Elephas maximus indicus: one gene and its partner. Each later gene encodes a partner of the first gene's protein in a complex. Links are inferred from orthologs where the notes say so. Each region holds a gene or a part of one and is shown on either strand. Other genes may lie near its edges. The genes, in order: KATNB1 and KATNA1.

Region 1 (15,006 bases):
CAAACCCCCTGGAGGGCAACTCTGCTATAGGATATTTCTAATATCCACATTAGAAAAGCATGTTCCCTTCGACTCAGCAATTCCACCTCTGGGAACGTGCCCTCTACACGGTCAAACACACATGAAACAATACCAATGCAAGGCTATTTGAAACAATTGTGTTTCCAATCTAAGCCGTGGTCAAACATGGACCTACAGGCAACGGAACACTACTCAGCCAGAAAAAGACTGGGCAATACTTTAAATATGATAAAGACCAATTGCCACAATATTTTAGGTGAAAAAAAAATGGAGGGGAGAGTATGTGGTATGACGTCATTTATGTAAAAAACGGGAGGAGGGAACAGACACCATATTTGATCATGTATGCATAAAAAACTGTGAGAACTGCCATGGCCTCCAGGAAGGGGTTCTGGTGGCTGGGGGGCAGGGGCAGGAGGAAGAATTTTCACTATTTACTATGTATCTTTGGAACGTTGGAATTGTATGAGTGTATTACTTACTCAGAATATAAAGAGAAATAAGTAAGTCCGCAGAGGGACTCGCATGCATATACATCATAAATCCTAACGGGAGACAGACTGGGCAGGTTTGAGGAATTGGAAGGCCTGGGGTCTGAAGAGTGGTGAGTGAGGGGAGAGGGTACAGAGGCGGCTGGGGAACACAAAGGGGGCTGGGGCCTGGTCCCCAGGGGGCTTGCGGCTGTGCCTGGTGTTGTGAGATAAGTCTGAAAGGCCAGACGCCAGAATGTTCACCATGCTTCCTCTGGGGGGGAAAAGTATGCAGTCATTTTATGTCCTGTTTTTTAAGTCTGCTGATTCCTTTTCAACTTGGGTATGTTACTCTGGCATTTCAGGAAAAAAAAAAAAAAAAAATTTTGAACCCCAAAACACAAAGCAAAAGAAAATAAAACAAAAAATCTCAATCCTGTTCTTAACGAACCCTGGCTGTGGGTGGGGTCAGAACTCAGCTTCCTCCCTGGGTCTCACGAAAACACTGAGGTGATAAGTTTCTAACAAAGAATATCACCTCCCACCACTCTTTATCACGCCCTTTTTTTGTCCAAGAGTCAGAAGAAAGATAACACCCTGTGATGCCAAGGATGGGGGAAGAGGCCCGGACCCCACCCCCGCCCCCATTTCCGCTGTGAGAATGTAAATTGATTTCTGGTGCACACCCTAGGATTTAATGCAGCGATCACAGATCTGCTCCAAGACAAGGTAGATGAGGACGTTCACCACCTGTGGTTTAGAAGAGCCAAAGCACTGGAAACCACCTTGATGCTGATAAATCGGGTGTGGCTAAAGTAATTATGGCTCGCTCCCTACAATGGAATACCATGAAGCCACTCAAAATCATGTTGAAAAAGATTTGTTGACACAGGAAAATGCTCACAACGATGTTATTTTTAAAACCCAGGCTATAAAAGAGTAAGTAAGATAAAAAATAAGCATTCTAGAAATACATTTTTATACATGTATGTGTACGTGTAAGGAGCCCTGGTGGCGCAGTGGTTAAGCACTTGGCTGCTAACCGAAAGGTTGGCGATCTGAACTCCCTAGATGCTCTGTAGAAGAAAGATGTGGTAGTTTGCTTCTGTGAAGACTACGGCTTTGGGAACCCTGTGAGGCAGTTCTACTCCACCCTATAGGGTCGCTATGAGTCAGGGCTGACTCGACGGCAACAGGTATGTGTACGTGTGTGTAGAGATACTCACCTGCGTGTACATGCACGTGCAGGCACGCAAATACACACACGCATGTGCAAGTGTGTATACTGATATCAGGATCTAGGATACACACCAAAATACCAACGGTAATGGTCTTTGGATAATGGAACTACATGTAGTTAATTTTTGTGGCTTTTCCTCCTTTATACTTTTCTGTTTCCCAAGTTTTGGCCATTGATTATGTCTTACTTGTGTAATTAGGGGTAAGATGCTATTAAAGAACCAGCTCTTGAACCAGCTCCAACCAGGTCTACTCAAATCCTTTTGTGGAATGAATTAATAAATAAACACCCACATGGAGCTGACAGGCAGGCAGATTGGTGGGGGTGGGGGGTGGGGTGGGGGGGGTAAGCCTCATGGCTCCACCACAGGTCTGTGGACTTATTTTAACTTTCTCATGCAGACTCCTGGTTTCTGTCCCACTGCCAGGTGACTCCCCTATTCCTGAGGGCTAGCCGCTATCTCAGCCATTCTGGCTTGTCCTAGGCCTTCCCAAGCACACAGCATGGGGGGCACTGGTGTGCTGTGTACCCCACCACGCCCTCTGGCTGGGCCCCCAGATGATATGATACCCTGAGCTCAACAGAACCTGCACAGTCCCCCTCCCAGACCCTTGCCCGTGACCCCTCCCACCCCCCTCCCCACCCCCCACCACTAGCAAGGCTCACCATGATACAGTTGGGCTTGTTGATGGACCACAGATTGACGCGGCAGTCATCCCCGCCTGTAGCCAGCAGCCGCCCAGAGCCTTTGCCCAGCACCAGTGAGGACACATTGCTGGCGTGGGCGACAATCTCCTCTACACAGGAAAGAGGAGAGGGAAAGACAGTCAGGAGGCTTGGCGGGTCCTCACCCTGCTCGGCTATAAGCTCTAGAACCCGCAGGCTGGTGCGGGGCTCTGCCTCCTTCTTCCCTTGGGTTCCCTCAGGACCCCTTCTCAGGCGCTGCAGGACCCGCTGACAGTGCAGGGCTCGGGTGCCTGGGCCTGTCTCTCAACTTGAGTCATTTCTGTCCCTTAAGCCTCACAATTTTTTTTTTTTCCTTTTTCTGCACCTCGGCTGGTAATATTGACTTACTGATTTTTTATATGGATTTGCTGTTTTTATTTAGCTTCATCTTAATAATATTGCTGACATTACACGTTTGATGTGTTCAGTATACTTTTTCTACTGTAGAAAAAGAACACAATAAAAAAAAATTAAAATATATATACCCATGTACCACCTAAGCCCCTTGCAGATGCCGTCTGAGGGGCACGCAAACCCCCCTTTGGGAAAGGCACTGTGAGAATCATTCATGTCAGCTCTAGACAAGCTGTCACCAGGTGAGACTGCACAGGGCTTCAGCCCACAGACACAGAGGCCAGATCTGGGTTCTAGGCTCTGCTGCTGCTGGCTGTGCGACCTTAGGCAAGTCACTCACCCTCTTTGAGTGCCAGGTTCCTCGTCTGTTAAATGGGGATGATGACAGCGCTACCTCCTGGGTTGCTAAGGATTCACCGAGAACATACGCAGGCTGCCGAGTCAGGAGACAGTGCTCCATGGTTGTTCAGCAGGCTAAGGAATAGTCACTGAGGGCACCACTGGGCACTGGGGCCCCAGGCGGGGTTTGAGGAGGAGGGGAAGGTGGTAGGCGACTGAGGGGTCTGAGGTAAGAGGGCAGGAGGTGAGCACTGACAGACGAGAGGAAGCTGGGGTCCTTGCATGCAGCCATCAGGGCCCCTGGCCTGGACTAGTGGGATGCCGTGGGGACAGCAGACATAAGCCTCAGAGGGGCATCATCACTGCTCCAAAGGGAACAAATATAGGCAAGGAACCAAGAGGTGGGCCCAGGCCTCTGTGCCAGTCCCTGAGAGGGTTGCTCCTGAGAACAAGGAAGGGAAAGATAAATCTCCTCACATGGACAGAGGGAAAACCCCAACGTACCAGTGCCTTGGGGCAACTGGGAGGCTGGCTGGGGTGACACGAGGAAAAGGGTGTTGCAGGTACTCCTGCACCCCAGTTCCGGGCCCCACCCTGCATAGGTGACTCCATGGCGCAGGCATCAGACCACAGGAGGTGGGGAAACTGGGTGCAGCCTGGCTCAGAGGGGCCCTCACAAATGCCCAGAGACCAGGCTCAGGCTTGTTCTCCCACCTCAGGGCAGCACCTAGCCGCAACCCCAGCAAGGCTGAGAGGTCTCAACAGGCCCGAGCACCAGCTGGGGTCTCAGGAACCCTGCCATGTCGGTCCAAGGGAGCTGGGCCCTCTCTAGACCTCATCTCACCCATGGAGCCTTCTGTCATCTAGACACTGCAGGGACAGACACCTGGGGTGCTCCAGCCACAGACATTGGACTGTTCCAGAGCTTCTGCTGGAAAAACATGGCCGCCCAGGCCAGGGAGGGTAGGCCACCTTCTCCCTGAGCACCCTGCCCCCAAGCCACGAGCTAATCTCCTTCTTCAAGACATCCCTGCATGCACTGCCCTCCGTCCATGACTCTCACTGAGGCCGCAGTTGTCTGCATTGCTCTCATCTGTCCTGGAAATCCCACAAGGTTCCACCTCACTGGGCCTCTGTGGGTGCATGCTGCCCTCTAGGCTCAGGACTACTGCCCCAGCGACTGCTGTTCATTTAGGACATAAATATTTCCTGGGGAGCTGGCACTGGGGCAGCAGTGGGGAATGAGAGCAAGAAGGTTTCTGCCTTCCTGCGACAGTGACCGGATGTTCCCGGGACAGGGCATCCAGCGTGCAGAACCACAGATGCTAGGTTGAGGGGCTTTGGAGGCTGACTCCTTCTGGAAGGGCCCAGGCCACTCTCCTTTAAGCAGCCTGAGCGGCGACTGATCTGATGCTCACGGAGGCACCTGGGAACACAGGGCACTGGCCTGACAGCTTCCCCTCTGGCCTGGCCCGAAGGACAACAACCATGGGTGGCCCTGGCTTTGGTGCCAATTTTAATACAAATAATTCTCACAGTATCTACTACCAAGCCATGTTGCCAGCCGCAGCTCCACCTAGGGGCACAGCCCACACCAGTTTTCCAAGCCCAGGTGGCACAAAGCTGGGCCTCACATCTCTGCCAGAGTTGGGGAACACTGGGCTTTCTGGCCAGAGACACTGGGGACCTGCAACCCAAACCAAAGGTACAAATTACTGGGCTTCAATGACCCCATGCTGGCCAAGCACCCTCTGATCCTCACCAGACCCCAGCAAGGTGTCAGAGGTCATTTGGTCCTGGGCTCTTCAGACAGCTTATACCCATGAAAACTGCTACGCAAATGAAATCACTGGCAGATGCCCAATATGCCTGGTATGTTGCCTCCCACTTAAACATTTCAGTGGTTTGGCCTTGGGCTGGGGTTCACAGACATGGGCCCCTGCAAGCCTTACCAGCTTCATGTGGCACAACACTCCCCACGCTGCTATCCTGCAGCCCACTGGCCTCCTTCCAGTGCACTGTGCTTCCTGCCTTGGGGCCTTCCACATGCTGTGCATGAAGCCTACTGCACTCTCCCACCCCTTACTGCCTTGTTAACTGACTCAAAACACATGTCCCAGCTTCAAATTAGAGCAGGAGAGATGGATGGGTGTGGGTGTGGTTATCTAATTCCTGCCTGTCACTCTCTCCAGGCTCTGAGCTCCAGCGCACAAGGACCTTGTCTGTTTTGCCCCCCAAAGGCTCCCCTGTGCCTGGCTCTGTGCTCAGGAAAGACCCAATGATGAAGGCATGGATACATAATCCCAACAAACACAAAGATACTCCATCCAAAGTGTACCCTCCTGGGGGCCCATGACAAGGTTCTCCCAGGACCCAGGTCTTTGGGAACAATTTGAAAACGGCCCAAACTTCTCATTTTACAGATGAGGAAACTCAAGCCACCAAAGGGCTTTGTCCAGGGTCTCATGGTTACAAAGTGATGGAGCCCTTCCCCATATCCTGCTCTCCCTTCTTCCAAGCTCTTTGTGGGGGCGGTGGGGGGGTGGGGATCCTCAATAGTTTTTAAGAGTATAAAAGGGTCTTAAGACTAGAAAGTTTGAGAGCTGCTAGTACAGAGGAAAAGACCCTTGGTGGTTCAACAATTAAGAACTCAGCAGCTAACTAAAAGGCTGGTGGTTTGAATCTACCCAGCAGTTCCAAGGGAGAAAGACCTGGCGATCTGCTCCCATAAAGATTACAGCTTAGAAAACCCTATGGGGGAGTTCTGCTCTGTCACATCAGGTCGCTATGAGTAGAAAATCAACTCAACAGCACCTAACAACAGTACAGAGGACCAGTGGGTGGGTGGTGCTTGGGCTGGGTTACATTCCAGGGCCCATCAGCATCCATTTCCCCACCCCTCACTGTCTCCTGCTCGGCTAACCACCCCAAGACGCCTCTATCTGATGGGGAAAATTTGATTTGTGATGTGTCTGAAAATGCCCAAGAACCTCTGTCAGGATTTCTCACCCCATCCTTCCCGCCAGTCTAACTGGAAATCTTTCAGCCCCTGGAAAAACAATTACACTAATGAAGGACCTTAGAAGCGTGAGCCCCTGTGGTAAGTGTCTATGTTCGTTATCTCATCTGGCCCTCACGGCAACTCTGGAAAGTCAATGAGACTATCCTATTTCACAGATGAGGAAACTGAGCATCAGAGAGGTTAAGTCACTTGCCCAATGTTGCCCAGCTAAGAAAGTGCCACGATCATGATTTATCTTACACATCTTCACCTGTCTCACTCCGAGGCAGTGCAGTGGGTTCAGGTGACCCAGCAACAAATGGATCAAAGGATAAATGGGGTGAAAAAGAAAAAAGGAAACCACTCACGCAGCTTCCAGGCTGTCTTGGTGACCACAGGGGTGGCCATTCTTCAGCTGGCTAGTACCTGGAGCTCTGCCCACCAAGTAGACACGCTTTCCTCTCGGGGTGGGGGTGGATCCCCCCCAGATCCACCAGTCAAGTTGGCACGGAGTTCCCACACATCCAGGCAGAGGGAATGCCTTGTGTCCTGGCCCCCCACTCCTTTGTGGTTTTAAATCATCAACAGGAGCTACAGCAGCCTGTGCATGCCCGTCGGGATCTGGGATCATGGAATATCAGGGTTGAGCCATCACCGCTCAACACTGGGCTGGAACACAAACAAAGGTGATGGCTGGTTAGAAAACAAGAGGTGGGAGCTCAGGAGAACCCTGGGGTTATAGACCTGCAGCTGCCTGATCACCAAGGCCACTTGAAAAAGATAAGACACCCACCAAAGCCACCAGAGCCAGGAGCTGTGCTACAAATTGGGTTTGAGAATCTGCAGAGATTCAAGCAAGGGGACTTGGAACAATGGGAAACAGAGGTCCTCCCAGAGGCCAGGATGATGGGACGAGGTTCTGCCCCTGGATGCTGGCTGCCTAAGTGCAGCCGCAACAGTGCAGACCACATGTCTGCAGTTCAGATGGATTTCTAGGAGTCGCTGTTCTGTCTGACATACGGCAAGGCGGGGAGAAGTCAGAGGATAAGCTTTGCAGGGGCTGTGAGAGGTACCCCATAGACAGGCACTGAGGTCCTCCTCTCTGGGAAGGACCTCAAGGAGACCCCTAAGGGTTCAAGCTTCCTGTTTGTGGCATGAGAATTCACTCCTGCCCCCTGCGATTCTCAAGGGCAGTGCTGGGGACTAGGCCTCCAGACACCAGCACGACTCCACCTCGTGGGGCCACCCAACATCCACCTCACTTCTTTCCCACGAACCCTCTCCCACTCCATCCCTCTTCTTCTGAGAATCCCCTCTCCCAGTTCTGCCCCCTTAGTCCTCCGTTCACTGCCCCTTCCTCCTGCCACCTATGTGTCTAATTCATGCACGTCCCGTCTCCTGAGCCCCCTAACTTGGGCCCTGCCCCACCAGGTCCCGTTAACTCTCCTTCCCCTTCTGCTACCAGTATCCCCCATTCATTTACTCTCCTGCCTCTAGTATTCATTACCCATGCTCCTGCAGACCCCCAGACCTGCTTCCAGCCTCCCTAGTTACCCCTTCCAGCCCCGACAACGTTCCTGCTCCTCTAGAGGCTGGGACTGGCCCCCGGGCCGCGCCTGATCCTCCCATCCCTCTCAGCTTTCGGGGCCGGCTCCTGCCTCCCCGGACCAGGAGCCCTCTCCGCCGCAGCCCCGCCCAGTCCGGCCCTGCCTAGCTTGCCCTAGCCTGGGACCCATCATGCCCTCGCCCCCTCGCCCACTTCACCTGCAGCTGTGGCTCCGGAGGCCGAGGCTCCGCTCCCGGCGAGACCCCCACTAGCCTCCATCCCCTGCCCTGATTGGCCGCTGCTTGACAACCGACCCTCACAACAAAACCTCAGGCCCCAGATCCCCGCCCACCTCATCCTCTGCACCAATCAGCCGCCGAGGACGCACCGCCTCCAGCCAGGTTTGACCAATCGAGGCAGGCGCTTCTGCCGCTTTTCCCAAGTACCCGCCCTCTATTCCTGAATCGGACTAATCACGAGGAAGAAGCCTCCAAGATACGCCCCTCGTACTCTAATGAACCAATGCGAGCTCCCATTTCCTTGGTCCCGCCTCCGCCTCAACCTTTCCCTTCCCTTCCCCTTTCCTTTTCGTACTCAAACTTAGTTTGCGTTTGAAACCTCTGCGCGACGCCCTCCAAGGGCAGCTGCGCCAATCGCTTTAGTAATCTTCCTGAATAGACCAATCAGCGTCCGCATTATTGGAAAACCAATTTGAAGAAAGCCAATGGGAAGGTGACTTCGGGAGCAGCGAGAAGCTGCGGACCTTCCATCTTGAAGTGGGGCGAAGCGAGGCGGAGTCTTGAGTCAGCATCTTGGTTCAGTTCCTGCTTCTTCCCTCTGCCCTCCGGCAATACTGCTGTAGTCTGAGGACTTCTGCCCCCGTTCTTTGACCCGGACCCCGCCTTGAATCTCCCACAGGAGGCCTGGCGGGGGACAGAATCTGATTCCGGGTCCGAGTCAGGCATAGAGCCCAGGAGTGCTGCCCACAGCCGCGGCCTCTGCGAATGAATGCGTGGGCAAGTAGCTTCTCCCTCAAGATGATCACAAACTAGGAATCCGAGAAAAGCCGACCCTACTGTGACTCATTAGGTGGGGTGGGATTCGGGAATGAGTTGGGACCTCGCGTGGTCCAGCTGGCCAGGGGGATGCTTGGGAGCGACTCGGCCCGACAGACGCCTCTTCTCGCCTAACCCCGGGTCATGCCCCATCGGGCGGAGAGAGTGGCCCAGCTTTCTCAGCGTCCAGCGCCTAAAGACCCTCCAACCTGTCCGTTTATCCTCAGGTCAGAGTGGAATCATACAATATGTTTTTTTTTGTTTTGTCAGTGAAGGCTGACAATAGCCCAAAGGGATAGAAATTGTTCCCATTTACGGATGGGGAAACTGAACCAAAAAAAAAAAAAAAAAAAACCCGTTATCGTCCAGTCCATTCCGATTCGTAGTGACCCTACAGGACAGGGTAGAACTGTCCCATGGGATTTCCAAGGAGCGCCTGGTGGATTCAAATGACCGACCTTTTGGTTAGCAGCCGTTGCTCTTAACCATTAAGCTACCAGGGTTTCCAAAGAACTTGTGTTGTTTCCGCCCGGGAAAGAACGGGACATTTCGCATGTGAGGTGAACATGATAACTGCTACAATAAGGAAATGGTGGGGAAACTGACGCCTAGGTTAAAGTTCTTGTAACAGGCCACACAGTCAAAAAGTAACTGTTCTTAAGGCCAAAGCCTAGGGGCTTCCCCATTACTGTTCCCTCTGCCAGAGACAACTGGGTCCAGCCCTTATGTACTTTTGGGAAGCATACCCTGAGAGGGGAATGGGCATTATTAAAAAGAGGACTAGATTAGCAGAGTGACATCTGATCAAAACTCTTTTAACGTTGAGAAACTTAATAGAGAAAACTTGAAAGAAGAATATGATGGCCCATATATACTTGTTCTCTGTATGTGTATTTTTCCTGAACCATTTGAAAGTTGTAGACATGATGCCACTTGCCACCTCCCACCCCCCACAAACTACTGAGTTTGCAGCTCATAAAACTAATGCCCTTATATAACCGTTATCGCCATACTAAAAAAAAATACTAAGAGAACTAGTAATTCTCTCGCATCCACTCCATATTCAAATTTCCCCAATCCTCCCGAAAACGTGTTTGATAACTTTTTTTCCTAACCAGGAACCAATTAAGATTCAGCACACTTGGCTCTTTTAAACTCATTCTAGTTCAGTCCCCCAACCTGTTTTAAAAGACCCCAGGCCATTTACCCTGTAAATTGTGCTTCATTGTAGATTTGTCTGATTCCTCCTCCTGTCATTTATCTTGTTCCTCTTCTCTTGAATTTCCCATAAACTGGAAGTTAGGTCTGGAGGCTTGATTAGATTCGTGACCAGCATTTTAGAACACTTTTTACTGAAGTACAATATACATACCCCAAAGGGCACATATTATACGTGTTCAAGGCTGATGAGTTTTCACAAACAGAAAATACACAGGTCAAGAAGCAGAATATTACCAGCACCCCAGAAGCCCCACTGGCTCCCCCTTCCATTCACTAACCCTTACACCCCTAAAATGACCACTGTCCTGACTTCTGATACCATTGACTAATTTTGCCTGTTTTTGTTCTTTATATAAGTGGAAATATATACGTATATATGTATACACACACATACACACATATTTTCGGTATCTGGCTTTGTTTGACAATATATTTTTTTAATATAATTTTTATCGTGCTTTACGTGAAAGTTTACAAGTCAGTCTCTCACACAAAAACCCATATACACCTTGCTACACACTCCCAATTACTCTCCCCCTAATGAGACAGCCCGTTCTCCCTCCACTCTCTCTTTTCGTGTCCATTTTGCCAGCTTCTAACCCCCTCTGCCCTCTCATCTCCCCTCCAGGCAGGAGATGCCAACATAGTCTCAAGTGTCCACCTGATCCAAGAAGCTCATTCCTGACCAGCATCCCTCTTCGACCCATTGTCCAGTCCAATCCATGTCTGAAGAGTTGGCTTCAGCAATGGTTCCTGTCCTGGGCCAACAGAAGGTCTGGGAGCCATGACCACTGGGGTCCTTCTAGTCTCAGTCAGACCATTAAGTCTGGTCCTTTTATGAGAATTTGGGATCTGCATCCCACTGCTCTCCTGTTCCCTCAGGGGTTCTCTGTTGTGTTCCCTGTCAAGGCAGTCATCGGTTGTAGCCGGGCACCATCTAGTTCTTCTGGTCTCAGGATGATGTAGTCTCTGGTTCGTGTGGCCCTTTCTGTCTCTTGGGCTCGTAATTGCTTTGTGTCCTTAGTGTTCTTCATTCTCCTTTGATCCAGGTGGGTTGAGACCAACTGATGCATCTTAGATGGCTGCTTGCTAGCATTTAAGACTCCAGATGCCACTCTTCAAAGTGGGATACAGAATGTTTTCTTAATAGATTTTATTATGCCAATTGACATAGATGTCCCCTGAAACCATGGTCTCCAGACCCCTGCCCCTGCTACGCTGGCCTTCGAAGTATTCAGTTTATTCAGGAAACTTCTTTGCTTTTGGTTTAGTCCAGTTGTGCTGACCTCCCCTGTATTGTGTGCTGTCTTTCCCTTCACCTAAAGTAGTTCTTATCTACTATGTAATTAGTGAATGCCCCTCTCCCACCCTCCCTCCCTCCCTCCCTCCCCCTTCTCGTAACCACAAAAGAATGTTTTCTTCTCAGTTTAAACTATTTCTCAAGTTCTTATAATAGTGGTCTTATACAATATTTGTCCTTTTGCAACTGACTAATTTCACTGAACGTGTCTGTCAGTTTGTCGTACTGTGGGGGCTTGTGTGTTGCTGTGATGCTGGGAGCTACGCTGCCGGTATTCAGATACCAGCAGGGTCACCCATGGAGGACAGGTTTCACCTGAGCTTCCAGACTAAGACAGACTAGGAAGAAGGACCTGGCAGTCTACTTCTGAAAAGTATTAGCCAGTGAAAACCTTATGAATAGCAGCGGAACATTGTCTGATATAGTGCTGGAAGATGAGCCCCCCAGGTTGGAAGGCACTCAAAAGATGACTGGGGAAGAGCTGCCTCCTCAAAGTAAAGTCGACCTTAATAACGTGGTTGGAGTACAGCTTTTGGGACCTTCATTTGCTGATGTGCAACGACTCAAAATGAGAAGAAACAGCTGCAAAAATCCATTAATAATCGGAACCTGGAATGTATGAAGTATGAATCTAGGAAAATTGGAAATCATCAAAAATGAAATGGAACGCATAAACATCGATATCCTAGGCATTAGTGAGCTGAAATGGACTGGTATTGGCCATTTTGAATTGGACAATCATACAGTCTACTATGCTGGGAATGACAACTGGAAGAGGAATGGTGTTGCATTCATCGTCAAAAAGAACGTTTCAAGATCTATCCAGAAGTACAACGCTGTCAGTAATAGGATAATATCCATACGCCTACAAGGAAGACCAGTTAATACGACTATTATTCAAATTTATGCACCAACCACCAGGGCCAAAGATGAAGAAATAGAAGCTTTTTATCAGCTGCTGCAGTCTGAAGTTCATCGAACATGCAATCAAGATGCATTGATAATTACTGGCGATTGGAATGCGAAAGTTGGAAACGAAGAAGGATCAGTAGTTGGAAGATATGGCCTTGGGGACAGAAACAATGCCGGAGATCAAATGATAGAATTTTGCAAGACCAACGACTTCTTCATTGCAACTATCCTTTTTCAGCAACATGAATGGCAACTATACACATGGACCTCGCCAGATGGAACACACAGAAATCAAATCGACTACATTTGTGGAAAGAGACGATGGAAAAGCTCAATATCATCAGTCAGAACAAGGCCAGGGGCCAACTGTGGAACACACCATCAATTGCTTATATGCAAGTTCTAGCTCAAACTGAAGAAAATCAGAGCAAGTCCATGAGAGCCAAAATATAACCTTGAGTATATTCCACCTGAATTTAGAGACCATCTGAAGAACAGATTTGATGCACTGAACACTAGTGACCGAAGACCAGACGAGTTGTGGAATGACATCAAGGACATCATCCATGAAGAGGAGCAAGAGGTCACTGAAAAGAGAGGAAAGAAAGAAAAGACCAAGATGGATGTCAGAGGAGACTCTGAAACTTGCTTTTGAGCGTCGAGCAGCTAAAGCAAAAGGAAGAATTGATGAAGTAAGAGAACTGAACAGAAGATTTCAAAGGGCCTCTTGAGAAGACAAGGTAAAGTATTATAATGACATGTGCAAAGAGCTGGAGGTGGAACACCAAAAGGGAAGAACACACTCGGTGTTTCTCAAGCTGAAAGAACTGAAGAAAAAATTCAAGCCTTGAGTTGCAGTAGTGACGGATTCCATGGGGAAAATATTAAACGATGCAGGAAGCATCAAAAGAAGATGGAAGGAATACACAGAGTCATTATACCAAAAAGAATTAGTCGATGTTCAACCATTTCAAGAGGTGGCATATCATCAGGAACCAATGGTACTGAAGGAAGAAGTCCAAGCTGCTCTGAAGGCATTGGTGAAAAACAAGGCTCCAGGAATTGATAGGATATCAATTGAGATGTTTCAACAAACAGATGCAGCCCTGGAGGTGCTCACTTGTCTATGCCAAGAAATATGGAAGACAGCTTCCTGGCCAACTGACTGGAAGAGATCCATATTTATTCCTATTCCCAAGAAAGGTGATCCAACTGAATGTGAAAATTATAGAACAATATGATTAGTATCACACGCAAGCAAAATTTTGCTGAAGATCATTCAAAAATGGCTGCAGCAGTGTATCGAAAGGGAACTGCCAGAAATTCAGGCCGGTTTCAGAAGAGGACGTGGAACCAGGGATATCATTGCTGATGTCAGATGGATCCTGGCTGAAAGCAGAGAATACCAGAAGGATGTTTACCTGTGTTTTATTGACTATACAAAGGCATTCGACTGTGTGGATCATAACAAACTATGGATAACACTGCGAAGAATGGGAATTCCAGAACACTTAATTGTGCTCGTGAGGAACCTTTCCATAGATCAAGAGGCAGTTGTTCGGACAGAACAAGGGGATACTGATTGGTTGAAAGTCAGGAACGGTGTGTGTCAGGGTTGTATTCTTTCACCATACCTATTTAATCTGTATGCTGAACAAATAACCTGAGAAGCTGGACTGTATGAAGAAGAACAGGGCATCAGGATTGGAGGAAGACTCATTAACAACCTGTGTTATGCAGATGACACAACCTTACTTGCTGAAAGTGAAAAGGACTTGAAGCACTTACTAATGAAGATCAAAGACCACAGCCTTCAGTATGGATTACACCTCAACATAAAGAAATCAAAAATCCTCACAACTGGACCAGTGAGCAACATCAGGATAAACAGAGAAAAGATTGAAGTTGTCAAGGATTTCATTTTACTTGGATCCACAATCAACAGCCATGGAAGCAGCAGTCAAGAAATCAAAAGACACATTGCATTGGGCAAATCTGCTGCAAAGGACCTCTTCAAAGTGTTGAAGAGCAAAGATGTCACCCTGAAGACTAAGGTGCGCCTGACCCAAGCCATCGTATTTTCAATCACATCATATGCATGTGAAAGCTGGACAATGAATAAGGAAGAGTGAAGAAGAGTTGACAGCTTTGAATTGTGGTGTTGGCAAAGAATATTGAATATACCACGGACTGCCAAAAGAACGAACAAATCTGTCTTGGAAGAAGTGCAGCCAGAATTCTCCTTAGAGGCAAGGATGCGGAAACTGCGACTTACATACTTTGGACATGTTGTCAGAAGGGATCAGTCCCTGGAGAGGGACATCATGCTTGGCAGAGTACAGGGTCAGCGAAAAGAGGAAGACCCTCAACGAGGTGGATTGACACAGTGGCTGCAACAATGAGCTCAAGCATAACAACGATTGTAAGGATGGCGCAGGACCGGGCAGTGTTTTGTTCTGTTGTGCATAGGGTCACTATGAGTCTGAACTGACTCGATGGCACCTAACAACAACAGCAACAATTTCACTCAGCATAATGCCTTCCAGGTTCCTCCATGTTATGAAATGTTTCACAGATTCCTCACTGTTCTTTATCGATGCGTAGTATTCCATTGTGTGAATATACCATAATTTATTTATCCATTCATCTGTTGATGGGCACCTTGGTTGCTTCCATGTTTTTGCTATTGTAAACAGTGCTGCAATAAACATGGGTGTGCATATATCTGTTCGTGTAAAGGCTGTTATTTCTGTAGGATATATTCCAAGGAGTGGGATTGCTGGATCCTATGGTAGTTCTATTTCTAGCTTTTTAAGGAAGC
Region 2 (15,444 bases), on another chromosome or scaffold:
GAATCAATGTCATTGAATTATACATTCAGAAACTGTTTTGCTGTGTATATTTTCAATATCAACAACAAACTAAATAAAATTAAAACAAACACATACGCATATCATGATTAAGAAGGGTTTAAAGGTAAGGTTTCACCTTTTTTCACCCCAGGAATCCAAGGGTGACTTAAGATCGGAAAATCCATCATTGTAATTCATCACACTAATGGACAAAAGGACTTTACAGGGAAATGACTACAGAGCATAAAGAGCAATTCATGGAAATAGAAAACCCAATGGCTAACATGTACAGGACACTAGTAACAAATGAACGCAAATGAAAGCAATGAGAGGTTCCTTTTACATTTACCAGGTTTAAAAAAAATTACTAAGTCCAATAATACTAAGTATCGGCAAGGATTTGGGGAGGGGGAGAAAGCCTCACATATAATTTATGGGCATAAACTGTACAGCTGTTTAGGAGAACAATCTGGCAGTACTTAGGGAAATTACGTATGCATATGTATTTTTTGACCCAACGATCCCAGTCTTGTGCAAATATTCCAGAGTCAGTCTCACAAAGATCCATAAAGGGACTTGGAATTAGATGTTTAGGAGTGCCTGGGTGGCTCAGAAGGTAAAGCACCTGACTAGGTTCTAGCCAAAACACTGGGGTTCGAACTCACTTAGAAGTGCCTTGGAAGACAGGCCTGGTGAGCTGCTTTTGAAAGGTCACAGCCTTGAAAACCCTACAGAGGGGTTCTTCTATGCACACATGGGGTCCCCATGAGTCTACTCCACAGCCAATAACAACAAGGACGTACACACGTTAATGACAGAACGTCTGGGAAATCAGAGCTGGAGGCAGTCTGTTTATTCGCTGCTGAAAGAATGCAGAAGAAAATATGTGAATGAAAAAAAAAAACTGTGAATGAACGTTATGTAGGACCATGTAGCGGAAACAACGAACACAATTTACAAATTGCAGCATGGATAGATCATCAAAATACAGAGTTGGGTGAAAAAAATCTTAGACACAGAACAAGACTTAAGTCCCAATATCATTTTATAAATGAAAAAGCCATACATTATATAAAACTTTTTAAAGGATACATACATATCTAAGAACATATACTGAGTGTCTATGGAGGCTGAGGTAGGGAAATGTGAGTAGCGAAAGGACTGGGGCAGGGAGGACAAAAAAACACAATAAGAGAAAAAGTCCTTATATACATAATGATATTGACCTCTAAGATGGCTCTCGATGATCCCTGCCTCCTGGTATTCATACCGTTGGGTAATTACTTCCCCACTCAATGTGGACTTCTAACAAACAGAATATGCAAAAATAATGAAATGTCATTTCCAACATCAGACTGTGACTTTCATCTTGCTTGCCCTCTCTCTCTCTTGCTGGTGCACTCTAAGGAAAACCAGCTACCATGTTGTGAGCTGCCTTGTGACAGGCTCACACAGCAAAGAACTGAGGGAGACTCCAGGCCAACAACCAGTGAGGAGCTGAAGCCGTAGCTGAATGGCCACAAGGAACTGAATTCTGCCAACAACCATGTGAGTGACCTTGGGAGCAGATCTTCTCCAAGTTAAGCACTGAGATGACTACACTGAGGGCTGATACCTTGATTACAGCCTTGTGAAAGACCCTGGGTCAGGGCACTCAGCTAAGCCCTTCCCAGATTCCTGATCCACAGAAACTGTGAGATAATAAATGTTTGTTTTAAGGCACTATGTTTTGGGGTAATTTGTTATGTAGCAATACAGTTATAAACTGAGGTCTATGAGTAACTCAAGACTGAGACTGAACAGCTGAGGTCCAACAGGAAACGAAGGAAATCCTGTGACCTAAATAGTTACTCCCTGAAGTCATAACCACTGACAATATTCTATCCAAATAAAAGCTCCATAGTCAAGGATCATGTCTCTCTGTTATTCACTGCTATATCCCCAGTACTAAGAACCATGTTTGGCACACAGCAGATAGTCAGTAATCTTTGAACGAAAATACTTCCAGGTTTTTGTCTTAACTAAGATTTCTTACTTTTGTCCAGTTCCCACCCCTCTGCACTCTCACATTCTTTGATCCTCAACTCATCACCACCAGAGCTAGGGTTATTGCTTAACACCTGCATAATCACTGCTGCCTTGAAGCCACACGTGCCCTATAGTGACATCTAGTCTGAGCAACAGTGTTAGAACAGTATAAACAGGCCCAACTGCTGGACGTATACAGTTGATGTGAATGAGTTTGGATGTCGGGCCTCTCATGTCTTTTCCCCTCTCCCTCCTTGCTTAAGACTCCTTCCATATCTTTCTTCCCATTCGCATTAGAAGAAAAAAAAAAATCTGAATTAAGGTGCTATTTATATATATAGGTGATCTTTTGTTTACTTTTCTTTTTGAGGGCCATTGTTCAACGGTCCCAAACTCAGAAGTCACTCCAGGCTTTGTTTAAAGGTTCTGTGTTACGAAGTTCTCTTTCTAGTGAGATAAAATTTGTTAGCAGACAATGAATTGTCATTTTCTAACAAAAAGAAATGTAAAGTCAATCCAAGGCCATATTAACAAAGGACCTGAAAAATTCTTGGTTATCAAAGGAATAACGTATTTACTGAAAACAGTCACAAAGCAAGCATTAGGTAACCAAATATTAGACAAAAATAATTTTTCCTAATCCTTTCATAGTCTCTAAGCCTAAAATATCCTTTTCAAATGAATGAAAACACTGTAAACTTATGATTCTCCAATTATCAAGAATATGTCTTTATCACTGCTAAAATCATACTGTAGAAAGACAGAAAAGGGGTCTACCTTGCACAATACCTGGCAATATTTGACGAAATAAACGTATTTCCAGAAAGGTTGACAGACCGAGTTTTAATCAACAAAAGTGGTAAACGCTACCCATAAAAAATGAGACTGTCCAAAAATTCAGACTCTTGGTTAGACATATCGTTAGAGAGAGAAATAAGCTCCGGCTATGCCTCATTTACTTCGCTGTCAGCTTTTCCTTTGGGTTAACCTATCAGAATCACCCTTTTGCTTATATGGTTTGAAGGCGTGAGTTGGTTAATGACTAAATTCATCTATTTAAACTGAGTAACGAGGGCAGTGGGTGGTTTTTTTAACATGCAAGTGAAATTGTAAATCAAGTAACAGAGCCCATTTTTCAAAATTAATACTACTGTAAATCAATAACAGAGCCCATGTTTTTTAAAACTAATACTAAAAACTCAATTTTCCATTAAGATTCCTAGGAAATTTCACGTCTGATGCAATGTGGCACCTCTACCAGAAGATCAAAATACTTGAGTTCTAAGATTCCTATTCTCTACAAAAACAACAAATGCAGCCCCTGCCCCTCTTACTAAAAAAAAAAAAAAAAAATTTCTTTTTTTTTAGGCTAGGTTCTACCTATACTGTAGTTTTTAACGTCCTACCCATAGGTCATTCATTCAAGAAATATTTAAGGATCACCTACTGAGCATTCGTTCAAGAAATATTTACGAAGCACTTACTGAGCTGAAAGGAAGTGCACTGAAGACAAAAATAAGTAAGACGGAATTAGCCCTCAAAATCTTTGAAGTGTAGTAGAAAGGTTATCTCTTTAGGTGTTTTTTTTTCTTTGCTAAGTAAGAGCAAACAAGCATAGGATATTAAACACAGGATAAAGAGTCAATAACGATGCTGGAAGCCTGCTAATGTTTTTCAAAAATTCATCTGCAAAACTTATTTCCTAAAATAAAAACAGAACATGATTGCTGGTTAAGCAATTTTCGGAATGGTCATCTCTGGGATATGAATGCAATCATGATGCTAATTTAAAGTGTCACTGATGATTATGAAAAAGCAGAATAAATGAGGGACCCATGACTAATTATAACATGGCATACGTTTTCCTTACCTTTATAATCATCACATGATAAATACTCAAGCACAGGAAAGCTACCACCGTAAAAAACAACACCAAAAGTAACCCTGCTCAGAAAATATATACATATAAAAGTCTACATTATATGTATTTGGTAAACTTTCCCTCAAAAGAAGGATAACTGGATAATTTTCAGTTTACTCTAAACAAAAATAAATCAGTGAGTATAGCAATTAAAACACAAACTAAACGCCATTTCAAGCCATCTCAATAAACACAAGCGAAATCTATTTAGCATGTTATCAACTTTGACCATATTGATTTGATATGCTATCTTTTTTAAACAGTCAAGTCGCTAAAAAAAAAAAAAAGGCGTTGTTGTAAACAGCATTTCAACGATGTTAATACAGTAAATTCTACATGATGCCCTAAGACTACAAATTTTCAAATCGAGACGCCAGTTTGAAAGTAAGTTGCAGCCTTCCTTGTATGCTACGTAGTAATTCCAAGTACTAAATCCATAACATGTAAAAGCTTCTTGAATAACCAAAGCCATAAAAGAGCTTTATATTGCTTTTCACAGTCTAGGAATGTTGGAAAGTTGATCAGCACTGCCTCCTTTTTTTTTTAAGGCATGATATATGCCACAAGTTATTAATATAAGACAAAGAGTTCAGATGCTATTTCTTTGTGTAAGAACTCACTGATTACAAAACCATCTCCTTTGGAAAAGAAAACAGGACTTCATGTTGAGACATTTTGGCCCTTATAAATATTACGCAAACCATTCTTGACACCTTATGTTCTGTCCTTGCGGCCGTGGCAAAGATCCATCGCACACATTCTAAAACATTCGGAATGCTTTCAAAAGTAACTAAAGGTCTGGTTTCAAGAAGAAAGACATAAATTAGTGCTTTCAAGAGAAAAGGGCGCACCACTGTGCTGCTAAAAGCTGGTAACTGATATAAAAGTAACAATTCGCAGTTAAGGCCGGAGATTATCCACGGTAAGGCACTTGAGGGTCCATGCTTACCTCTATCTCCGTCACCATATACGGTATGAAACAAATGTTTCGAGGGATACGTTTTCTAAAAGGTACCAACTCCATAAACCTCCCAGAGGACGACCAGCTCTAGAATAATCTAAATAAGAAATTAACACCCTCAACGATAACACACCAACTAAAAAAATACAAGAAAGGAAGCTACATCCCTATGTCGTGGTTTTTCAGGAGGAAGGGTTTCCGGGCCTGGGGCGCGCACGGGTTCCGGAGAGCACCAGCCAGAACTGCACAGAATTAAAAACCGGTTCTCTCGGCCGGACACTTCCCTCAAGACACGGGCCAGGGGGTGGGATCTGCAGAGCCCCCGAAGAGTGCCTGGCTGGACAGGATTCCTCAGGAAGGAGGAGAACAGTCACCTGAGCCACAGGTGTCGGCGACAAGAGCTAGGACCCGAGACACCGACGCATGCATGGGCAGGCTCTCACCGGAGGCCCCCTGAAGCCCTCGGCGGCCCGGGCACCTGGGTCCCCACGGCACCGGGGAGCGAACACTCACCTGTGGCGGCCGAGGCTCCTGGGGAAGCCGCCCACAGCCAGGCGGAGGGGAAAGGGCCGAGAGCGGCTCCCGGCAGCCAGAAAGTCAGACTCAGCCCCAAACCTCCCCCCACCCCCACCCCCACCCCCACTCTGCGCTCACAGAACCCGGACAGCCCAGGCCAACCGTCACCGCCCCCGGGCGCTTCTTGTGCTAGCCAAGGATTTGAAGGCAAACACACATCGTCACTTCCGGTGCCGGGAGCGGCCGCAGCGACCCCAGCGCACGCGGGCCGACGCCCGGGAGCGAGGACGCCGGGCGGCGTGCGCGCGCCGGCGCCCGGGCACGCGCTGGGCGGAGCCAGGCCGCGGGGGCGCGCCTGCGCGCCCGCGTCACCTCCTCTCGGCTGAGGGAGCTAGGTGGGAGTGGTCGTGACCTGTACTACCTGGCTTACCTCAGTACCTTTGCCGAAGTGCTAGCTCACATTGTCTCCCATTTGATTTTCACCGCATTCCTCTAAAGTTAGGAAGTCAGAGTGTCTCTTTTACAGGTAAGTGTTGCAGTATTAAACAATTCGATTATGACAAATTTTAGAACCCAGTTCTCAGAATTCTTCGGCAGAGGGCCTTGTCACGACGTAATGTGACTAAAATAGGTAGGGAGGGGGCAAACAAAAATATTTAGATTCTCTAATGGTGGATTTTGGGTGTGTGTGTGTGTGTCACTGTTTCAGTATGAGACAACAAAACTGTTTCATGATTTACAGATATCCTACTGGACAATGCTGTTGGCTTTGCTGCCTCCAGTCTTAGCCTCCATCCCCCACCCCGACCTAAACCCGAATAGGGGCACTTATGACACTTGAAACTTTTGTGACTTAGGAATTACTAATGTTAGGAATTAAATTCCTAGCATTAAATCATCCCAGTAATTTAATATTTATATAAAAGCAATTCAGGAAAAAAAAATCTTCCTTCCACAAATAATTATTGAGCAACTATTTGCCAGGGCACTGTGTTAGGCACTGAGTATTCAGTGGGGGACAAAATGCACACGGTGAACATGCAGTGAAACCTGTGAAAGCCGGAATTCAACGGGACTGCCTTGTTTTTCTAGGTCTCCCAAGTTTTCCACCTTTGAGAGGGTGTAATCTTACTACTTTTCTATCACTTGTTGGAGTGGAATATGTGTTTTCCTTCTCTGACAGGTTTCCACCTTACACAGGTTCTGGCTTTCGTAGGTTTTACTGTCACTGAATTGTACTTGTAAAAATATTCAAATGCAAATGTTTATATATATCTATATATACATACTTACCATAATTTTTTAAAAAAGAATGTTTTATGGAGCTTAAAGTCTCAAGATTATCAGTAAAGTAGAAAATAGTTTTGCTATGATATGAACTCTATTATAATGGAGCACAAGAAACTATAGAGATCACAAAACCAATTGAAGAAATAGTTACCCACCCTAATTAGGCTGAATTCAGCCTTCACCTTTTATATGAATGCCAAGATATGCTAACTTATTAAGCCAATTAATAAATTTTTCTCAAAATGACTACATATTACATGATCCCCTTTATGTGCTACAACAGGCAAAACTGATCTATATTAACAGCCTCAGGTTGGATTGATGACTTGGGAAGGGGCTGTTAACTGCAAAGAAGTATGAGGAAGTTTTCTGAGGTGAAGGAAATGTTCTATACCTTGACTGGGGTAGTGGCTTCATAGGTGTATCCATTTATTAAAACTCATTAGAGTACAAATAAAATACATGCATTTTATTGTTCATAAATTATACCTCAGTAACATTTTTTAAAGTAAAAAAAGTCTTGAGAGAATGGTTTACATTCACTACTTCCAATTCTTCACTAGCTGTATTAGTCAGAGAAGACTAAGCTATGGTGTATAATTCCTAAGTCACAGAAGGTTTAAATAGCAGGATTTTTTTTTCACTGCATTAGTTTGCTAAGGCTGCCCTAACAAGTACCACAAACTTGGTAGCTTAAAACAACAGAAATTCATTTTCTCACAGCTCTGCAGGCTAAAAGTTTGAAAACAAGTTGTCAGCAGGGCCATGCTCTCAAGTCTCTAGGGGAGGATTGTTCCTTGCCCTTTCCTGGCTTCTGGTGTTTGCCGGTAATCTTTGGCATTCTTTGGTGTCTTAATTATCTAGTACTGCTATAACAGAAATACCACAAGTGGATGGCTTTAACAAAGAAATTTATTCTCTTACGGGAGGCTAGAAGTCTGAATTCAGTGTACCAACTCCAGGAGAAAGCATTCTCTCTCTATCAGTTCTGGGGGAAGGTCCTTGTTGTCAATCTTCCCCTGGTCTAGGAGCATCTCAGTGCAGGGACTCTGAGACCAAAGGATGCACTCCGTTCCCAGCTCTGCTTTTTTGTTGGTAGGAGTTCCCCCTCTCTCTGCTTGCTTCTCTCTTTTATAGCTCAAAAGAGACTGACTCAAGATAAAACCTAATCTTGTATACAGAGTCCGCCTCATTAACATAACTGCCTCATTAACATCATAGTGGTAGGATTTACAACACATAGGAAAATCACATCAGATGACAAAATGGTGGACTTTCACAGGATACTGGGAATCATGGCCTAACCAAGTTAACACACATTTTTGAGGGACACAATTCAATCCATAACACTTGGCTTGTAGTTCCATCACTCCAATTTCAACCTCCATATTTACATGGCTGGCATTCTATCTGTACATGTCTCTGTCTCATTTCTTCTTATAAAGACACCAGTCATATTGGATTTAGGGCCCCCTCTAATCCAATATGACCTCGTCTTAACTGATTATATCTACAAAGACCTTATTTCCAAATAAGGTCACATTCCAAGGTTCTGGGTGGACATGAAGTGTTGGGGGACACTACTGAATTCTGTATTCACTCTACATGTTGCCAGCAGAGTGGATGCAGGAAATGGAACCCCTGGCAGTGGAAAAAACAAAATGAGACAAACTGCAGAGATTCTGCCTGAATATGATAATGCTACTTCTGCTCTTATTTCAATGGCCAAAGCAAGTAATATGGCCAAGCATGACTCAACAGAATGAAAAACATAACCCCACAGATCCTAGAAGCTCAATAAATCACAAACACAAGAATCATCAAGAAAACTACATCAAAACACATCATAATTAACTTGCTTGGTACCAGTGATAGAAAAACCTTAAATGCAACCAGGGGGGTAGGGGGGAAGAATACATAAGAACAAAGAAAAGAGCGACAGTAGACTTCATTGGAAATGATGCTACACAGATGATAGTGCAGCAACATCTTTAAAATCCTGAAAGAGAAAACCTTTATTACTAAAGTAAATGAAAATGTATTTCAAAAACAACATTTAACTTAAGAAAATCAACTCTAACACTACACTAGTGAAAAAAAAGGACACATGATCATCTCAGTTGATGCAGAAAAGGCATTTGACAAAACCTAACACCTTTATCATGATTCAAAAGAAAAAACTTCAGGCAGGAAATTCATCAACATGATAAAGGGCATTTATGAAAAACCCACAGTGAACATCATACTGAATGGTGAAAGTCTAAAAGCTTTCCCCGCTAAGATCAGAAACAAGACAAGGATGCTTAATGGGTTAAGAATTTAGGGGATGATCTGACAGGGTGAACGTCTTTTTTCATATGGGAAGGATATGAATTTTAGGAGGCTAAAGGGTTGAATTGTGTCCCCCCTCCAAAAAAATGTGTTAAAATCCTAATCCCTACACCTGTGGAGGAAACCGTGGTGGCGCAGTGGTTAAGAGCTATATGGCTGTTAACCAAGGGGTCCACAGTTCGAATCCACCAGGCATTCCTTGGAAACTCTATGGGGCAGTTCTACTCTGTCCTACGGGGTCGCTATGAGTTGGAATCGACTTAATGGCAACGGGTTTATACCTGTGAATATAACCCCATTTAGGAATAGGATTTCTCTGGTACGTTAATGAGACCAAATCAAGAAAGTAACCTGTGACTTTGTCCTTCTGACATTTATCCCCAGAAGAAGGGTGTAATGTTATAAATTGTCTCCTCCCCCAAAACAGTGTTGAAATCCTGACCCTTGTACCTGTAATGTGTTTGGAAATAGAGGTTTTTCTTTTGTTACGTTAAGGAGGTTGTGCCAGTATAGGGTGGATCTCAAACCTAATCACTTCTGAGTTATAAAAAGACCAGAATAGGCACAGAGACACACGCACAGGGGGAAGACAGATTTCATATGAGGACTGTCTACAAGCCAAGGAATGCCAAGGAACACCCTTGGCTACTGACAAGGAGGGAATCAACATGGCTGAGACCCTAATTTGGACTTTTAGCCTCCAGAACTGTGAGAAAATAATTGCTGTTCTAATTATAGGGATTTCTGTTATGGCAGCACTAAATAACTAAGGCAGTAAACATGTATTTGATAAGCATTTAATGTACACAATATATAAAGAGCTCCTACAATTCAACAACAAAACAACTAATGCAATTAAATAATGGGCAAAAGACTTGAATAGATATTTCTCCAAAGAAGATATACAGATGGTAAATAAGCACATGAGAAGATGCACATCATTAGTCATTAAAACCCACTGCCATCAAGTTGATTCCAACTCATAGCAACCCTACAGGACACAGTAGATCTGCCCCATAGGGTTTCCAGGGAGTGGCTGGTGGATTCAAACTGCCGACCTTTTGGTTAGCAGCCAAGCTCTTAACCACTACCCCACCAGGGCTCCTTAGGGAAATGTAAATCAAAACCACAATGAGATACCACTTCATACCCACTAGTAAGGCTATTATCCAAAAACCAGAAAATAACAAACATTGGTAAGAATGTGGATAAATTAGAAACCCTGATCCATTGCTGGTGAAAATGTAAAATACTGCAGCTACTGTGTTAAACGTTTTTGTGGTTCCTTCAAAAGTTAAACAGAGGGCGGAGCCAAGATTCCAGAATAGACAGATGCTTCCAGCGAGCCCTCTTTACAACAAAGACCAAAAAAAAAAAAACAAGTGAAACGAGTATATTTATGACAAGCTACGAGCCCTGAGCATCAACGGCAACCTTAGAAAACAAACTGAGGAGCAGCCGAAGGAAGAGACCGTTCAGAAGCAGAGAGGAGTTACCGGACCTGAGCGGGTGTGGCAGGCTGATACTAGCATTCAGCCGCAGCTTCTACAGGGAGAAGCAGCCAGCCACACAGCCTACTCACACCTCCAGAACCAGAGAAGAGGCTAAGTACATGCGAATATTTTACCGCGCCCACCCAACCCCCAAGCCAGCTTCAGCTGCTGAATTCCCTGGGCCTCAGATAGGCACTGTTACGTGCCCAGAGCCATCCTCCCAGCCTTGGAGAAGGAAAAAATTTGCATTTGGGGGAAAAGATAATTTGCCACCTACACTAACCAGGGGAGCTCAGGACAGAAGCGGCTCCTGTTCAGGCATAAAAGGTCTGTGGACTTTAAGTACCTTTCCCCTCTGCATGGACCTGTGTGGGCCTATTTCAGCAGAATAGTCCCTTGTTGGCAGACTCCAACCCTTTTCAGCTATGTGGCAGAGAGGTGGGTGTTTGATGTTTGACATTGCTTTGCCTATTAAACAGGGTCCTCACCTACCCACATCAGGGGCCTAAGGACTGGTAGCTCCACTCAGGTCACCCAGCCACCTACAACAGGGGTCCAAGGATAACTGGTACCTCCCAGTCCTTACAACCAAAAACATTAGGTACCCATGGTCCGTCTGCGGAACCCACCCACCTGCACGCTCTAGGGAACAGGGACACGCTTTCCTCAGAGACACTTGGGGGGTGGTTCTCAACCCCCTGCCTTGTTCAAAGCATGACCCCCTGCTCCAGCCAGATACTGGTACCTACACCAATCACCCCTACCCCTCTAAGACTGTAGGACAGAGCCTGTACCACATACTTGATCAGCTACCTGGACACATGAGCTGAATTCATACAAGAAAACTGAATGGACTCCTAGACTGATATACCTGATGATAGCTCTAGCCATCTGGGGAGAGTATGTCAGAGCTCCAAAGGCAAAAATAATCAAGCTAGCTCACTCAAGCAACCCATTTGGGCATATTAAAACAAAACAAAGCAAGAAGCTACGACACAGTAAGCAAACATAAACTAATACAATAACTTATAGATGGCTTGGAGACAACAGTCAATATCAAGTCACATAAAGAAACAGACCATGATCACCTCAACAAGCTCTCAAAACAAAGAATCCAGGGATCTTCTAGATGAAAGTGCATTCCTGAATTACCAGAGCCAGAATACAAAAGTTTAATATACAGAACCCTTCAAGACATCAGGAAGGAAATGAGGTGATACACAGAACAAGCCAAGGAACACACAGATAAAGCAACTGAAGAAATTAGAAAGATTATTCAGGAACATAATAAAAAATTTTAATAAACTGGAAAAATCCATAGACAGCAATCAGAAATTCAGAAGCTGAACAATAAAATTACAGAAGTAGACAACTCAATAGAAAGTCAGAGGAGAATTGAGCAAGTAGAAACCAGAATTTCTGAACTTGAAGATAAATCACTTGGCACTAATATATTTGAAGAAAAATCATATAAAAGAATTAAAAAAAATGAAGAAACCTTAAGAATCATGTGGGACTCTATCAAGAGAAATAACCTACAAGTGATTGGAGTACCAGAACACGGAGGGATAACAGAAAACACAGAATTGTTGAAGATCTCTTGGCAGAAAGCTTCCCTGATATCATGAAAGATGAGAAGGTATCTATCCAAGATGCTCGTCGAACTCCACATAAGGTAGAAGTTAAAAGAAAGTCACCAACACATATTGTAATCAAACTTGCCAAAACCAAAGATAAAAAATTTTAAGAGCAGCTAGGGATAAACAAAAAGTCACCTAAAAAGGAGAGTCAATAAGAATAAGCTTGGACTACTTGGCAGAAACCATGCAGGCAAGAAGGCAATGGGATGGCTTATTTAAAAAATTGAAGGAAAAAAATTGCCTGCCAGAAATCATATATCCAGCAAAACTGTCTCTTTAATATGAAGGTGAAATTAACATTTCCAGATAAATAGAAGTTTAGGGAATTCGTAAAAACCAAAACAGAATTACAAGAAATACTAAAGGGAGTTCTTTGCTTAGAAAATTCATAATACCAGGTATCAACCCAAGACTACAACAATGGGCAGAGCAGTCAGAAGTCAACCCAGACAGGGAAATAAAAAAAAAAAACAAAGCAAGATTTAAAAAAAAAAAAGCTCAAACAGGGTAACAACGATGTTATTATACAAAAGAAGACAACATTAAAACCATAAAGAAGGACTAAGAAATGTAATCATAGACCTTCCATATGGAGAGGAAGATACGGCCATACAAAGAAATAAAAATTAGGTTTAAATTTAGAAAAATAGGGGTAAATAGTAAGGTAACCACAAAGGAGACAAACTATCCTACTCATCAAAATAAAATACAAGAAAAAAATAGAGACTCAGCAGAAACAGAATCAACAAAAACAAATATGAGAAAAGAACAATATATAATCTACTCAGCACATAAAATTAAGTGGGGAAAAAAAAACTGTCAACATGATACAAAAAAAAGGTATCAAAATGATAGCACTAAATTCATATCTATCCGTACTTATGCTGAATATAAATGGACTAAATGCACCCATAAAGATACAGAAAGTGGCAGAATAGATTAAAAAACACGATCCGTCTATATACTGCCTACAAGAGACACAACTTAGACTTAGAGACACAAACCAAAAGGATGGAAAAACAAAATATATCAAGCAAACAACGATCAAAAAAGAGCAGAAAAAAAGGAGGAGTGGCAATATTAATTTCTGACAAAACAGACTTTAAAGTTAAATCTATCATAAAGGATAAGGAAGGACACTATATAATGATTAAAGGGACAATACACCAAGACGATATAGCCATATTAAATATTTATGCACCCAATGACAGGGCTGTAAGATACATAAAACAAACTTTATCAGCATTGAAAAGTAAGATAGACAGATCCACAATAATAGTAGGAGACTTCAACACACCATGTTTGGTGAAGGACAGCACATCCAGAAAGAAGGTCAATAAAGACAGGGAAGATCTAAATGCCACAATCAACGAACTTGACCTCATACACATATACAGAACACTCCACCCAATACTTTCTTTTCTGGTGCACATGGAACATTCTCTAGAAGAGACCACATATTAGGTCATAAAGCAAGCCTTAGCAGAATCCAAAACACTGAAATATTACAAAGCATCTTCTCTGAGCATAAGGCCGTAAAAGTGGAAATCAATAATAGAAAAATCAGGGAAAAGAAATTAAACACTTGGAAACTGAATAATACCCTACTCAAAAAAGACTGGATTATAGAAGACATTAAGGATGGAATAAAGAAATTCAGAGAATCCAATGAGAATGAAAACACTTCCTATCAGAACCTTTGGGACACAGCGAAACCAGTGCTCAGAGGTCAATTTATATCAATAAATGCACACATACAAAAAGATAAAAGGGCCAAAATCAAAGAATTATCCCTACAACTTGAACAAATAGAAAAAGAGCAACAAAAGAAACCCACAGGCACCAGAAGAAAACAAATAATAAAAATTATAGCAGAACTAAATGAAATAGGAAACGGAAAAACAATTGCAAGAATTAACAAGACCAAAAGCTGGTTCTTTGAAAAAACAACAAAATTGATAAACCATTGCCAAACTAACAAAAGAAAAACAGGAGCGGGAGCAAATAACCCAAATAAGAAATGAGATGGGTGATATTACAACAGACCCAAGACAAATTAAAAGAATCATATCAGATTATTATGAAAAATTGCACTCTAACAAATTTGAAAACCTAGAAGAAATGGATGAATTCCTAGAAACACACTACCTACCTAAACTAACACAAACAGAGGTAGAACAACTAAATAGACCCATCACAAAAGAAGAAATTGAAAAGGTAATCAAAAAAATCCCAAGAAAAAAAAAAGCCCAGGCCTGGACAGCTTCACTGCAGAGTTCTACCAAACTTTCGGAGAGGAGTCAACACCACTACTACTAAAGGTATTTCAGAGCATAGAAAAGGGCAGAATACTCCCAAACTCATTCTATAAAACCAGGATATCCCTGATACAAAACCAGGTAAAGACACCACAAAAAAGAAAATTACAGTCCTGTATCCCTCATGAACTTAGATGCAAAAATCCTCAACAAAATTGTAGCCAGTTGAATTCAACAACATATCAAAAAAATAATTCACCATGACCAAGTGGGATTCATTACCAGGTATGCAGGGATGGTTCAACATTAGAAAAACCATGTAATCCACCACATAAATAAAAGACAAGAATCACATGATTTTATCAATTGATGCAGAAAAGGCATTTGACAAAGTTCAACACCCATTCATAATAAAAACTCTCAGCAAAATAGAAATAGAAGGAAAATTCCTCAACATAATAAAGGGCATTTATACAAAGCCAACAGCCAACATCATCCTAGATGGAGAGACCCTGAAAGCATTCCCCTTGAGAACAGGAACCAGACAAGGATGCCCTTTATCACCGCTCTTATTCAACATTGTGCTGGACATCCTAGCCAGGGCAATTAGGCTAGACAAAGAAATAAAGGGCATCCAGATTGGCAAGGAAGAAGTAAAATTATCTCTGTTTCCAGACGAGATGATCTTATACACAGAAAACCCTAAGGAATCCTCAAGAAAACTACTGAAACTAATAGAAGAGTTCAGCAGAGTATTGGGATATAAAATAAACACAAAAATCAGTTGGATTCCTCTACACCAACAAAAAGAACATGGAAGAGGAAATCACCAAATCAATACCATTTACAGTAGCCCCCAAGAAGATAAAATACTTAAGAATAAATCTTTACCAGAGATGGAAAAGACTTATACAAAGAGAACTACAATACACTTCTGCAAGAGACCTACGTAAGTGGAAAAATATACCTTGCTCATGGATAGGACGACTTAACATTATAAAAATGG

The links.
Region 2: the proteins of KATNB1 (region 1) and KATNA1 are in contact, whole or in part, in a crystal structure (PDB 5OW5), measured with the Mus musculus proteins. The link is inferred for Elephas maximus indicus from reciprocal best matches to the Homo sapiens genes KATNB1 and KATNA1. Residues at the interface, in NP_083081.2 of Mus musculus: Leu485, Val486, Asp487, Glu488, Ala490, Met491, Gln493, Ile494, Arg495, Gly497, His498, Met501, Phe502, Val504, Leu505, Thr506, Arg508, His509, Leu512, Asp513, Val515, Arg516, Trp519, Thr521, Asp542, Leu543, Ile546, Gln549, Lys550, Leu553; in NP_035965.2 of Mus musculus: Leu5, Gln6, Ile8, Val9, Val12, Arg16, Ala19, Leu20, Leu21, Gly22, Tyr24, Tyr31, Tyr41, Leu50, Lys53, Trp54, Gln56, Val57, Glu60, Ile61, Val63, Glu64, Gln67, Val68, Asp70, Ile71, Thr74, Leu75, Ser77, Phe78.

Annotation. Positions count from the first base shown.
Region 1 is NC_064839.1:24,625,143-24,640,148, reverse strand, and holds the start of KATNB1 (katanin p80 WD40 repeat-containing subunit B1), read right to left. Parts: upstream 8,011-15,006; 5' UTR 7,916-8,010; intron 6,821-7,915; 5' UTR 6,560-6,820; coding exon 6,520-6,559; intron 2,529-6,519; coding exon 2,398-2,528; intron 1-2,397.
Region 2 is NC_064819.1:220,919,133-220,934,576, forward strand, and holds the start of KATNA1 (katanin p60 ATPase-containing subunit A1), read right to left. Parts: upstream 5,527-15,444; 5' UTR 5,424-5,526; intron 1-5,423. UniProt on the Homo sapiens protein: Catalytic subunit of a complex which severs microtubules in an ATP-dependent manner. Microtubule severing may promote rapid reorganization of cellular microtubule arrays and the release of microtubules from the centrosome following nucleation.